Linked DNA regions of Xenopus tropicalis. The protein of the gene in region 1 purifies or fractionates together with the protein of each later gene. This does not show direct contact. Links are inferred from orthologs where the notes say so. Each region holds a gene or a part of one and is shown on either strand. Other genes may lie near its edges.

Evidence for each region. The genes of interacting proteins can lie anywhere in the genome.
Region 2: the proteins of bicd2 (region 1) and dync1i1 purify together in Homo sapiens (affinity purification with western blotting; 4 studies listed by BioGRID and IntAct, with this or other methods). This does not show direct contact. The link is inferred for Xenopus tropicalis from reciprocal best matches to the Homo sapiens genes BICD2 and DYNC1I1.

Annotation. Positions count from the first base shown.
Region 1 is NC_030680.2:150,868,951-150,875,463, forward strand, and holds part of bicd2 (protein bicaudal D homolog 2), read left to right. Parts: intron 1-2,454; coding exon 2,455-2,667; intron 2,668-6,513. UniProt on the Homo sapiens protein: Acts as an adapter protein linking the dynein motor complex to various cargos and converts dynein from a non-processive to a highly processive motor in the presence of dynactin.
Region 2 is NC_030682.2:33,434,816-33,441,328, reverse strand, and holds part of dync1i1 (cytoplasmic dynein 1 intermediate chain 1), read right to left. Parts: intron 6,139-6,513; coding exon 6,005-6,138; intron 4,599-6,004; coding exon 4,454-4,598; intron 1-4,453. UniProt on the Homo sapiens protein: Acts as one of several non-catalytic accessory components of the cytoplasmic dynein 1 complex that are thought to be involved in linking dynein to cargos and to adapter proteins that regulate dynein function.

The sequences.
Region 1 (6,513 bases):
GTGACTAATAGGGCCACTTGCCTGTAAGGTATCTTCATTCCATTAGTTCTGCTGTGGTGCGACATCAGGAATTCAGTGACGGCTGGCACACAGAGGGTTTGTGCTCTATTGTGAGCTATGGCAGCTCCCACCCTGAGGAAATATATATATATATATATATATATATATATATAATATACAGTTTGCTCATTTCCCTATAGGACCAAACTGTAAACTATATCCTTATAAACGGTGCTTAGTGATGTCATCGATTGATGTCATTTCTGTCACATGACTCACTAAAACTTGTATATTATAATAAATAAATTACCCCCTGTTGTAAAATGTAAGGATATTACAAGCCACCGAAGGCCTTGTGCTTTTATATGGTCATGGAACTCCTCTGTGAGTTATAATATCCTTACATTGTACAACAGGGGTTACTTTATTCACGATTACCCAGCGCTGGGCTATTAATATTCTGAGATTTGGTGTCGCATTGGTTCCTGGGGGGGTTGGAATTCGGCTGCAGGGGCCCCTCCTTGAAGGCACCTCAGTGCTGGATAAAATATATTTATTGGGCGTCAGGAAGAGCGGTTTCCCCCCTGGGGCCACTGTTTGTTCAGATCCAATAACAACTCGGCTGGTCGGCGGTTCCTGGTAATAAAGCAGTGATTGTAGTTCTGTTGCCGGGGGAGTTGGGGCAGAGAAGATGCAGAGATCTGGGTAAATATAGAGATAATTGTCACTTCCTGATTGGTCCATCCATGAGTGGCTGCGTACATATGGGCATCCTCGCTCCATTTCCCTTCCTATAATCCCCTGGAGCCGACGCCCACACAGGGTTCTGGTTGGACAAACTGAAGGGACAGGAAACGGTTCTATATCTATATATATCTGCCCCCCATTTCTGTACATTTGTTCTGCCCCCAATGCTGCCCCGAGCCAGGTGGCTTCCTGCCCTGTCCAGAGGGTCCCCCTAAATGATTTAGTGGTGGATACAGGGTAGGGCTGCACAGTTAGTTCCACTGGGCCCCCATGGTATAGGGCCCGAAGGGACCATCCCTCACCTAATATGCAGCACTGGCCTCACACAAATAACAAGGTTATCCTGCACATTTATTGCGGTGCATGTGGCCCCTGAAGGCGGCGGTGCATGTGGCCCCTGAAGGCGGCTGTGCATGTGGCCCCTGAAGGCGGCGGTGCATGTGGCCCCTGAAGGCGGCGGTGCATGTGGCCCCTGAAGGCGGCGGTGCATGGGGCCCCTGAAGGCGGCGGTGCATGTGGCCCCTGAAGGCGGCGGTGCATGTGGCCCCTGAAGGCGGCGGTGCATGTGGCCCCTAGAGGCGGCGGTGCATCTGGCCGCTGAGGGCGGCGGTGCATCTGGCCCCTGAGGGCGGCGGTGCATCTGGCCCCTAGAGGAAGAGGTGCATCTGGCCCCTAGAGGAAGAGGTGCATCTGGCCCCTGAGGGCGGCGGTGCATCTGGCCCCTAGAGGAAGAGGTGCATCTGGCCCCTGAGGGCGGCGGTGCATCTGGCCCCTAGAGGAAGAGGTGCATCTGGCCCCTGAGGGCGGCGGTGCATCTGGCCCCTAGAGGAAGAGGTGCATCTGGCCCCTGAGGGCGGCGGTGCATCTGGCCCCTAGAGGAAGAGGTGCATCTGACCCCTGAAGGCGGCGTTGCATGTGGCCCCTGAGGGCGGCAGTGCATGTGGCCCCTAGAGGTGGCGGTGCATCTGGCCCCTGAAGGCGGCGGTGCATGTGGCCCCTGAAGGCGGCGGTGCATCTGGCACATTATACTGTCCTGTTCTTTACCATGAGCTGAGTTTCGGTTGCAGCCAATCACGATGCCCGGCTGAGCAGTTAGCCGCATTTAGACAAAGCCGCACAGTTGGACGCGCACAGATTCATTTCTCACTGAAACGCGATGCATCTTTGATTTCCCAGGGGCCCATCTCTGAGTGCCGCTGAGTGTGAAGGGCACCGTGCCCCCCCTTATCTGAATGCCATCTGATGGGCACCGGTATCTGTTAGAGGGCAGACTGTGATGGTTTTGCTGTTGCGCTTAGGGAGCCATACGCCAGCCCTGTGCCTGTAACGAGACCAACCCAATATTTTTCTTGGCTTTTCTTTCCCTTTAAAGATAACATTACTCCTGGGAGCCATAGACATTCTTGGAAAGTTGGCAGAAAAGCCACATGAATAATCTCACCCCCTGGCACCTACCCAGGCATTGCCCTTATTTGCCGCCCTTTAGTCAAGTTGGCACAGCCGTACCCATCGTGCTGCTGGCAGCCAGGGAAACCACTAGCGTCTTGGAGCCAAACTTGCCCAGTGTGTGGCCCTTTAGATCGTTTGTTCCTTAGCTATGGGGGAGTTATAGTTCAGCAACATCTGTAAGGGGCCAAGTTACGTGTATGAGATGTTAAGGTTTGGCAATTGCTTTTCTAATTGGCCAATGTGCCTCCCTCCCTACAGGCCTTTGGTCAAGCGCATAGCAACCACAAGAAAGTAGCGGCCGACGGCGAGAGCCGCGAGGAGACCCTGATCCAGGAATCGGCCACCAAGGAGGAGTATTACATGAAGAAGGTTCTAGAGCTGCAAACAGAGCTCAAACTGTCCAAGAACGTAGTGGCCAACACCCTGTCTGAGAATGAGCGGCTCAACTCCGTGGCACAGGAACTGAGAGAGGTAGGTACCCACCTTATATTGTGTGTGGGGGGGGGTCTGTTATATTGGGGGACACAGAGGCGCTACAGGCACCCCCCCTTCATGAGCCCTTGGTCAGCTTTGGCCTATAGAGATGGGGCAAGATGGTGGCACCTAATAGTCTGTACCCACAGTGCGCTGGGAGTATGTCCTGAGCCAATGAGCTGCAGCATTAATAGCCCCTCCCAGGGACAGAGCATGTGCTGGGAATCCACAGAAAAACAAATGGGGGGCTTCAGGAGCATCTCTTGGGGCACATTTCCCTGCTAAAGGGGGGCCAATCAATAATCAATAATTCCCAAACTTTGGGGTTGGCTTTGCTCTATAGCGGGGTGACTGTTACCCCAATGTTTCTATATATCTGTAACCTTGTTATGGGCTAAGGGGGCCCAGCCTGAAGGCCAGTTAGGGGGGGATTTGGGGTGAGTGCTTATTTGTGCCCTGGGTACCCCTGGAACTATAGCGGGGTGACTGTTACCCCAATGCTATGAGCTGGGTGGGTGTGGGGGGGCTGTGCCCGTATATAATATAATTACACATATGTGTGGGGCAGAGGAATATAACAGTGGTGCCCGACTCCCTATATTCATGGCACAAAGTGGCACAGATGGGACTGTATAAGACTCAGACCCCCGCCCCCCCCCGCGTTACTCTTTGTATTCAGATAATGAAACAGTTTATTCTCCAGTTTCTGACTGTGGCCCCCCCCATTTGCCCCCCGGCGCAGCTAATAGCCGCTCTTGTTGCAGGTTTCCCTGATAATTGTGCTAATTAGCCGGGAGCTGATTGTTATGCTAATTCATTCTACATTAATTTGCACATATTGAAGCGTAATGTCAGGGCTGCGCCGGCGCCGGGCGTCTGATACTCATGCAAATGGGACGATGCGCTGGGGGCAGGACCGGCGCCCCCTCCCCATTGGTTATTATTGGTATCAGTCCCAGCCAAACATGGAGGGAAGGGGTCAGGGAGTTACCAGTACCATAACCCTGGCCCAATAGCTGATTGGGTGACTAGGGAACCTTGATACAATGTAGCAGAAGCCGGATAATTAACAGAATTGTGAAGGCGGATGCTTGCAGGGTATTGTGGGAAACGGAGTAGATAAACAGACCAGCTACATTGTTTCAAGAGTCAGAAGCAGCAGTGACGGAAACAGGAAGGGACAGGCAGACGGGGCAGACGGGGCTTTCAGTAGTGAGAATATGGAATACATTGATGTTTAGGTTTATGTCCCCTTTAAAATAATTACACATATGTTTTTCTCTGTGCAGAAAGTATTTCTGATATCCCCCCCCCCCCCCAAATCCTGGCAGTGTAAATCTGTAGCCAATAGGGGGGGGGGGGTGATGATGGGGGTTGTTCCTGTGGTGGGTGCTGTTCCTGTGGTGGGTGCTGGGGGTTGTTCCTGTGTAGGGTCTTGGGGGTCGTTCCTGTGCAGGGTGCTGGGGGTCGTTCCTGTGCAGGGTGCTGGGGGTCGTTCCTGTGCTGGGTTCCGAGGGGTTGTTCCTGTGCAGGGTGCTGGGGGTCGTTCCTGTGCAGGGTGCTGGGGGTCGTTCCTGTGCAGGGTGCTGGGGGTCGTTCCTGTGCAGGGTGCTGGGGGTTGTTCCTGTGCAGGGTTCCGAGGGGTTGTTCCTGTGCAGGGTTCCGAGGGGTTGTTCCTGTGCTGGGTTCCGAGGGGTTGTTCCTGTGCTGGGTTCCGAGGGGTTGTTCCTGTGCAGGGTGCTGGGGGTCGTTCCTGTGCTGGGTTCCGAGGGGTTGTTCCTGTGCAGGGTTCCGAGGGGTGGTTCCTGTGCAGGGTTCCGAGGGGTCGTTCCTGTGCTGGGTTCCGAGGGGTTGTTCCTGTGCTGGGTTCCGAGGGGTTGTTCCTGTGCTGGGTTCCGAGGGGTTGTTCCTGTGCTGGGTTCCGAGGGGTTGTTCCTGTGCTGGGTTCCGAGGGGTTGTTCCTGTGCTGGGTTCCGAGGGGTTGTTCCTGTGCAGGGTTCCGAGGGGTGGTTCCTGTGCAGGGTTCCGAGGGTCGTTCCTGTGCAGGGTTCCGAGGGGTCGTTCCTGTGCAGGGTTCCGAGGGGTCGTTCCTGTGCTGGGTTCCGAGGGTCGTTCCTGTGCTGGGTTCCGAGGGGTCGTTCCTGTGCTGGGTTCCGAGGGTCGTTCCTGTGCTGGGTTCCGAGGGTCGTTCCTGTGCTGGGTTCCGAGGGGTCGTTCCTGTGCTGGGTTCCGAGGGGTCGTTCCTGTGCTGGGTTCCGAGGGGTCGTTCCTGTGCTGGGTTCCGAGGGGTCGTTCCTGTGCTGGGTTCCGAGGGGTCGTTCCTGTGCTGGGTTCCGAGGGGTCGTTCCTGTGCTGGGTTCCGAGGGGTCGTTCCTGTGCTGGGTTCCGAGGGGTCGTTCCTGTGCTGGGTTCCGAGGGGTCGTTCCTGTGCTGGGTTCCGAGGGGTCGTTCCTGTGCTGGGTTCCGAGGGGTCGTTCCTGTGCAGGGTGCTGGGGGTCGTTCCTGTGCTGAGTTAGTTAGGATAATACAAAGCACAGCCCCCCAAGCCCCCCAGCAGAAGCTAAGCTGGCCGGGAGTTTATTCGGCTCTGACATGGGGGGGGGGGGATCGGATATTTCCGCGCGGCACTAATCCTTTAGCCGGATGAGCAGCGACGTCCTGACTGCGAGTTAATTACCAACGATCAGTCCCTTTCCTTAACGAGCGAACTGTTAAACGATTTAAGCACCTCGCTATGGAACATGTAATTAAGCCCAGTAACTAATTCTCTCCTATTGGGGTTTCTCCCTGAGGATGATGGGAGTTGTAGTTGTAGCAACAGGGCCCACTTGGTACAGTTCTCATTGGTTGGTGGGATTAAACCATTAAATTGAAATGAATGGCTAAAGGTGTGGCGGAGAGAATCCTGGTTGGTGAGTGATTGCCTGGCACAGCAGGGCAGGGATTGTGCTGCGGGCGTGAGGAAATCCCCACCAGAGGGTGCTGTTCTGTTACAGTCTAGGGAAGGGCTCACACTACTCCTTGTTTTATATTAAGTTCCCATTAATATAATAAGTGGGAGAGACTCCCCGACACCCTTCTGTTGGTGAATTTTTCACATACTTTTTGCCACTGGACCTGCAGGTTGATGGGATGGGGCCCCCGGGGGAATTCCTGAGGGCGATTGGCATCTTTATTGGGGGGCTCAGTGAAGTGACTTGGGATACAAAGGAGGGACACGGCTGGGATCCTAATGAGCCGAATCTGGCGGCTGCACCGGCTGGGGCTGTTTGGTGACTGATGCACTAAGGTATGCCAAGGGCTGCGGGGAGTTGTAGGGAGGGGGCTCACAGGGTAACTGCCTGCATGTGCTGCTTGTGAACAGAGATGGATTATTTGTAGCAAAAGGGACTTTCTGGGGCCCCAACTGCCCAAGTAGGAACTGTGGCCTCTCCAGCCAGAAACTCCCAGCACATATATATATATGTGTGTTACTGTGCCAGCTTCCCTGCTGCCAGCTTCTTTCACAGCAATAGATTGCCCCGCTGTAACCAGCCTGCCCTGTCTGACCCCCATACCCAGCCACCTGCCCCCCCCCATACCCAGCCTGCCCTGCCTGACCCCCGTACCCAGCCACCTGCCCCCCCCATACCCAGCCTGCCCTGTCTGACCCCCGTACCCAGCCTGCCCTGTCTGACCCCCGTACCCAGCCTGCCCTGTCTGACCCCCGTACCCAGCCTGCCCTGTCTGACCCCCGTACCCAGCCTGCCCTGCCTGACCCCCGTACCCAGCCTGCCCTGCCTGACCCCCGTACCCAGCCTGCCCTGTCTGACCCCCGTACCCAGCCTGCCCTGTCTGACCCCC
Region 2 (6,513 bases), on another chromosome or scaffold:
CTCTGCATTGGATGCCACCGTTTCAGCCCGATGATGTAGAGTCCTAATTACACCCAGTTTGTGTTCCAAAGGGTGTTGGGAATCAAACAGCAAGTACTGGTCTGTGTGGGTGGGTTTCCTGTATACTTCAATATCCAGGTCCCTCCCCTCATTGATAACTATAGCACAGTCCAAAAAAGCCAGTTTGCTGTCTTTCACATCTTCCCTTGTGAACGTGATGTTTTTGTCCACCGAGTTTATGTGTTTGGTGAAGGCTGGAACCTCGTGTGCTTTAATTTTGACCCAGGTATCATCCACATATCTGAACCAATGACTTGGTGTTGTTCCCTTGAAGGTGTCCAGGGCTTTCTTTTCCACTTCTTCCATGTAAAGGTTCGCTACAATTGGAGACACAGGCGAACCCATGACACAGCCATGTTTTTGTCTATAGAAAACTTCCTTGTGCTTGAAGTAAGTGGTATTGAGACATAGGTCCAGTAAGGAACAAACTTGTTCTGGGGTCAGCTTTGTTCTGCTGCTGGGGGTGGTGTCTTGTTTCAGCCGTTTCCTCACTGTTTCAATTGCCTCAGTAGTGGGTATGCATGTGAACAGAGATGTTATACTTATACTGTAATGTCACCCACTGTGACCTATAGCGCTTATATTTGCCTATTTGTGTCTGTTAGTTACCCCTCCCATATAGATTGTAAGCTCTACGGGGCAGGGACCTCCTTCATCTTGTGTTTCTGACTCTTATTGCAACTGTACCTTGTATTTATTTGTATTTATTGTTGTACTTTGTATTTATCCATTATCTTTAACCCCCCTGTCTGTATTAATGAATTCTACTGTACAGCGCTGCGTACATAAGTAGCGCTTTATAAATAAAGATATACATACATACATACATACATGTTATGTCATAGGACACCATTGTATCATCGATCTCCAGCTTTAACTCCTTCACTTTTTTGACAAAGTCCATGGAGTTCTGAATGTGGTGTACTGTGTTTCCAACTAAGGGGGCTAAGATGTTGGCCACGTATTTAGCAATGTTATAAGTCACACAGTTAATGCTGCTGACAATTGGCCTCAAAGGGGCTCCTTCTTTGTGTATTTTTGGGAGTCAATATAGGCATGGAGTGGCTTCGCCTGGGTAAAGGCGACAGTACAAAGCTGGTACCATTGTGATTGGATCATACCTTCTTACACCTGTCAGTTTCAGCTAACACCTAACTGAACAAGTTCAATGGAACCATTGTGATTGGATGTCTGTGACTGTACTACCATCAAGAGTTTAAATACCGGGGAATTCCCTACCAGTCATTTGAACTGAAGAAGCCACTCGGATGAGTGGTGAAACGTTTTCAAGAAAAAAAACTCAGAAAAGTCCAGTTGTTTTAGACTTAATTCTACTAGATACTGTATATCATGACCTGGATGAATGAGAATCTTCATAGACATACTTTTAAGGTTCTACTTACAGTATTTTATTTTCTTTGCCCCAAACAGTAGGGTTCAAAGCTCAATTTGTTTTTACTTTTCACACTGCCTTCTAGTTGCCCTATGGGGCGGAGCTCTTTGTGTTCCCAGATTTGGCTGCACTGTATCCTTAGGGAGCAGGTGATAGGTGAATGAGGGCATCCCCTTCAAATCCCTGTATGTTCAACTTTCAGACATGCAAGCTAGGCAGTGCAATTGACAAAAGCATGCAAGAGAGCTTTACTTACTACCTGGCTATGGCTGGCGTATAAGTTAGGTTTCCCTTGTACCAGATACCAATGTGCTCTACACCTTGCACCAGATTTTTAGTCCAATGCAGAGGGCACAAGTGCTCCATTGATGGGTCCTAAGAGGCACCATTTAACTTATTTAGGAGAGCAGTAAGCAGAATTCTATGTAACTGTAAGTTTAGCATGAAATGTAATAACAGATATTGTTTAGTTGCCTCTCTTTTGTATTAACAATAATAAATGAGCTTTAGTGAATCCAGCCTTTTTCAGAAACACAGAACAAATGTCTTTTGTTGATTTAAACCATGTTGCCTTTCTGTTCTTCATTTATGGAACTCCTTCCAAGTCAACATTTGCCAAGGAGCATTTCTGTGCATGTGTAAAACCAAGCTCAAAGAACATCTCTTAAACGCAACATTACAATATGCAAACTTTATTGTAACAACAGTTCTGTCTAGCTCAGCCATGGACTGCACTTATTCCCCCTGAATGTCACAGTACCCAATTAAATGAGTGTTCAAAGATGGCACTGGCTTGTTTTCCTCGCCTTAATTCACTGCATACATTGTGGTTTTCATTTGTATCAATATGTCTTATTCTCAAGTGGTAACATTCCAGTGCACTGCTGGAAAAGACATTGATGTGGGCACTGAATGTCAAGAGAATTATTAAGACATGGAAATAATGGCATTTATTACTTAAGCCTTGTACATAAAGACAACACTTTCGGATATTTGCACTTAGTGCCACTGATTCTTTCCTACCCCTCTCGCAAATCATGCACAGTATACCTAATAATGCAGGGCAACTCTGGAGCTAGCTCCACCCTCATAGGGTTTACACAGCAGTCTGTATTAACCCAGCATGTCTGAACTGCAATTGTGTCAGGCACATTGTCACCTTGTACATGCATTTATGCTAGAAATGATGGGGAAAATGCTGCATTGTGGGAAAAAAAACATGGCAATGCACCCTAAATTATACTTTGCATACTGCAGTTGCTGTTGTAAATGATATGTGGAATATAACACCAGAAAGTCAAGGACCAATAAGGTTTCCATCATTATTTTACCAGAAACAGACAGGAAGCCTATAGACAGGACAGCCACTGCTATTACTCTTATTGAGTCAATCCATAGTAAGGTATGTATCTGCATATAGTTAGGCCACAAGAGTGATAGTCATTGATCACATCATCACATATGCTCTATACCAGGGGTTGGTGAGCAACTTGTTGGGGATCAATGTTCTATACTGTACATTGCATGCAACTTTAGCTCTTCCATAACTCTTCCATGTAGTACTGCTAAGAAGCTGAAGTCTATGATATTTTTGATATTTTGGCAACTTTTTTCTCAAATTACTTGATAAAGATACTTTGTGCATAATAAGGGAATGTGATGCGACCATAGTCTTTAGTTTTCATGGGGATGCAGTAATTAATCTAATTACCCGCTAGAAAAATGTAATGAGGAATATAGAAAGTGATCACATGTTGACCTATCTTTCTGTAAGGTCTATATTCATACTGTAGGTTATTTTCCCCAGAAAAAAATCAACCGAAGCCATTGAAAAACAGGCGCCTTATACTTGGCTTTATTTGCCTTGCCACCTGTTGCCGATTATCAAATAATCCTTAAGGCATATACATATAAAGTAAATTGCCCAGAATTTTTATTACAGCAGAACCACATCTACAAATTCACATAAACCATCAGTGAAGCTAGCATGGAACACAAAATGCTTGGATGTCCTTTTCATATGATGGTAACGTTCCAAACTGGGGGTAGCTTAATTATGTCAGGAATCTGCTCATATGATGCTCTGCTATCAATTAGAGCTTTGAATTCCATTATAAAAGCAGATTGTTTCTGCATTTTAGATCAATGTTGTTGTTTTTATGTCTTCATTGTCTTTTTGGAGACATTCATTTACTATAACAGTCCTGTTTGCTTGAGATCTTGTGGGGTGTTCTGGGTGTTTCCAGTTTAGTACATGATAAGTCACTGGACTTACAGCACATTACTGAATCCAGAAGCCCTTTTCTAATAAATACCTAATGTCATGTATACGATTGCCAAATTTCTGATATGTTCCCCATATTTTAAACTTGGAAAATTCACATGTGCACTTTTGTAGTGAAATATAACAGATGTTACATTCGTAAAACACATCCATATTTTATGGCAACAACTTTAGGATAAATTAAAGAAATAATAAAATATGAAAGACATTAGATATAAGAAATTCCAGAGCAGCACCACCCATTATTTATAAATCATACTGAACTCTTTGTAATTCAAAATGGTCTCTAAGCCAGAGTTAAGACATCTGTGGCACTCCAACTATTCTAAACTTCATATTAAAATATTTGTAACTGGACAAATATCCATGGAATTCTCCATGAGTTTAATAAACAATCTTGAAGCTTAAAGACGCCATCACTGAGGACTGGGCCCTGTATATAACAAAGAACACATTTTTGCTCTCCAGATATCTAATCTGCCATCAAGTTTGTGCTTGAAAATTAAGCCAAGGGACAGTAATAGGACAGAACTATGCTGAGGTTCTCCTTTTGCAACTGTGTGGCCAGTCACTGCCTGAGCATTATGGACTCATTTGCATGATGTCCAACAAGAATACCAACAGTAGTAACAATCATTCCTTGCCCAACATGCTCAAAAAAGACACCTGTGAATGAATGTTATTGTTAAAAATAGCATATTATTATAAATACACACCTTTGTTGTCCAGAGTTTAACTGTCCAGTCAAATGATGATGTAAGGAAAAGATGGGAAAAGTCTATAGGTCCCACTGCATTGTGGCAATTGATTCCAGTCACAGGCCCCTGATGACCTTCAAAGACTTCACTGATGCCGGCTTTGCTGCATAAAGAACACTGTATTTTAGGAACAACTGTCGTCTGTCTCTGTTGTACCTTCATGGTTAGGCTTTCTAATCAACCCATCTGGCCCTTTATTTCATTGACTTAAAACAATCCTATCAATCCAATAAGAATTATTTATCCTTTATTTACTTATTTTGACAACCCAATTGCTCATCACTGGTCCTTGCCTCACTCCTAACCTCCCTTTATATGGTGAACCTAGTGAAATCATTGATCATACAATAAAAACATTTGCCACTGAATCAAGTCCAGCAATATCCTTTGACTTGTAGACCTTATGATTTAAGCCATGACTTCACAGTAAAAAACTTTTTTGGAAGTTCTTCTTTTCACAAAGGTATAAGATTCTCCATATGAAAGAGGTTTTAAAGATATAGAGGTACAATAGTTGGGGTAAAACTACGGGGCAGATTTAGTGAAACTCCATAATTTCTCATTTGTCTTTTTTTCAAATTTCACGAAATTCATTTTTCTGGATGTTTGATATTTTCGCGAGGAAAAGTCGCTGTGAGAAAATTTTTCAAAATGTCGCTGCAAAAATCCTAATTTACGGACAAAACCCAGCAAAATCTCTAAAGTTTCCAAAGAATGAACTTCAAGTAAAGGGACCTCTGCCATTGACTTCTACATGAACTTGGCAACTTTAATCTGGCGAATTGTCAAATTTGGATTTTTAGCGATTTAGATGCATAGTAAATCTTGGAAAAAAGCATTTTTTCTCTTTTTCGAAAAAATTTGAATCGAGTTTAAAATGAAAAATCGATAGTTAGTAAATGAGCCCATAACCGTTAAAGAGAAAAGAAAAGAAAGATGTTGGCAGATCAATAGCTGGAATGCAAAGGGATAATTCCAAAAGCACAGGAACATACAGTATGGGTACTTTTTCTTCACAAAATTCTATTATGTGACAGAATCCTTATGCATATAGTGATGAGCAAATGTGTCATGTTTTGCTTCAGAGAAAAATTTGTGAAACTGCAGAACAATGTGTGAAAGCGTGAAAAATTCACAAAATGCGACTAACACACAAATTTTTTTTGACATGCTTGCAACTTCTTCTTCACTCTGCAAATTTTTGGAGAATTTTTGTGGCAGTTTCATGAAAAAATTTGCCAATGGCGAAATGTGGAATTTCACAGCAAATCCATGTCTGGCGAAAAAAAATTGTTCATCACTACCAAGGACTTTGTAAACAAAAAGCTGGCATTTAGGCATACCACTTTACCTCTTCTCATAGCATTACCTAAAGGGATTCTGTATACTGTTTTGCATTTAACACTTACACTGTAAAAGAACTGGCTATTGGCATTTTTAAAAAAAAGGGTATTTTTGCCACTTACCATAGCCGAGATGTCCTGAGTGTCAGTATAGAAAATGTATTACCTTCCGTGTCTGCAGGCTGTATAAACTGTGCCCTCCTCACTTCCAACAACAAAATTGTTCACATCCCCAGTTGGAAAAGCCATCCCAGTCACAGCTACAGGTTTGGACTTATTGTAGACAAGCTCCATGCTTTCCTGCAACACAACAACCGCTAATATGAATAACTGAAATTAAGAAAAAAACTGACTTTTATTAAATAAATCAAAATCACGCTTCTTGAGCTCTGAGTATGTGAGCACTGAGTATGTGAGCACAAAGGTATATGATCAAAGGTATAAAATGCCTTATCCATAGACCCATTATCCAGAAAGCTCTGAATTAGTGGATGCCATTTTAAGCTAATACAGTGATTTTAATTTATAAAAACAATTTCCTTTTTCTGTAATAATAAAACAGTGCCTTGTACTTCATGGTAACTAAGCTGTATGAATCCATATTGGTAGCAAAACAATCGTATTGGGTTTATTTAATCTTTAAATTAATTTTAGCAGACTTAAGGTATGGAGATC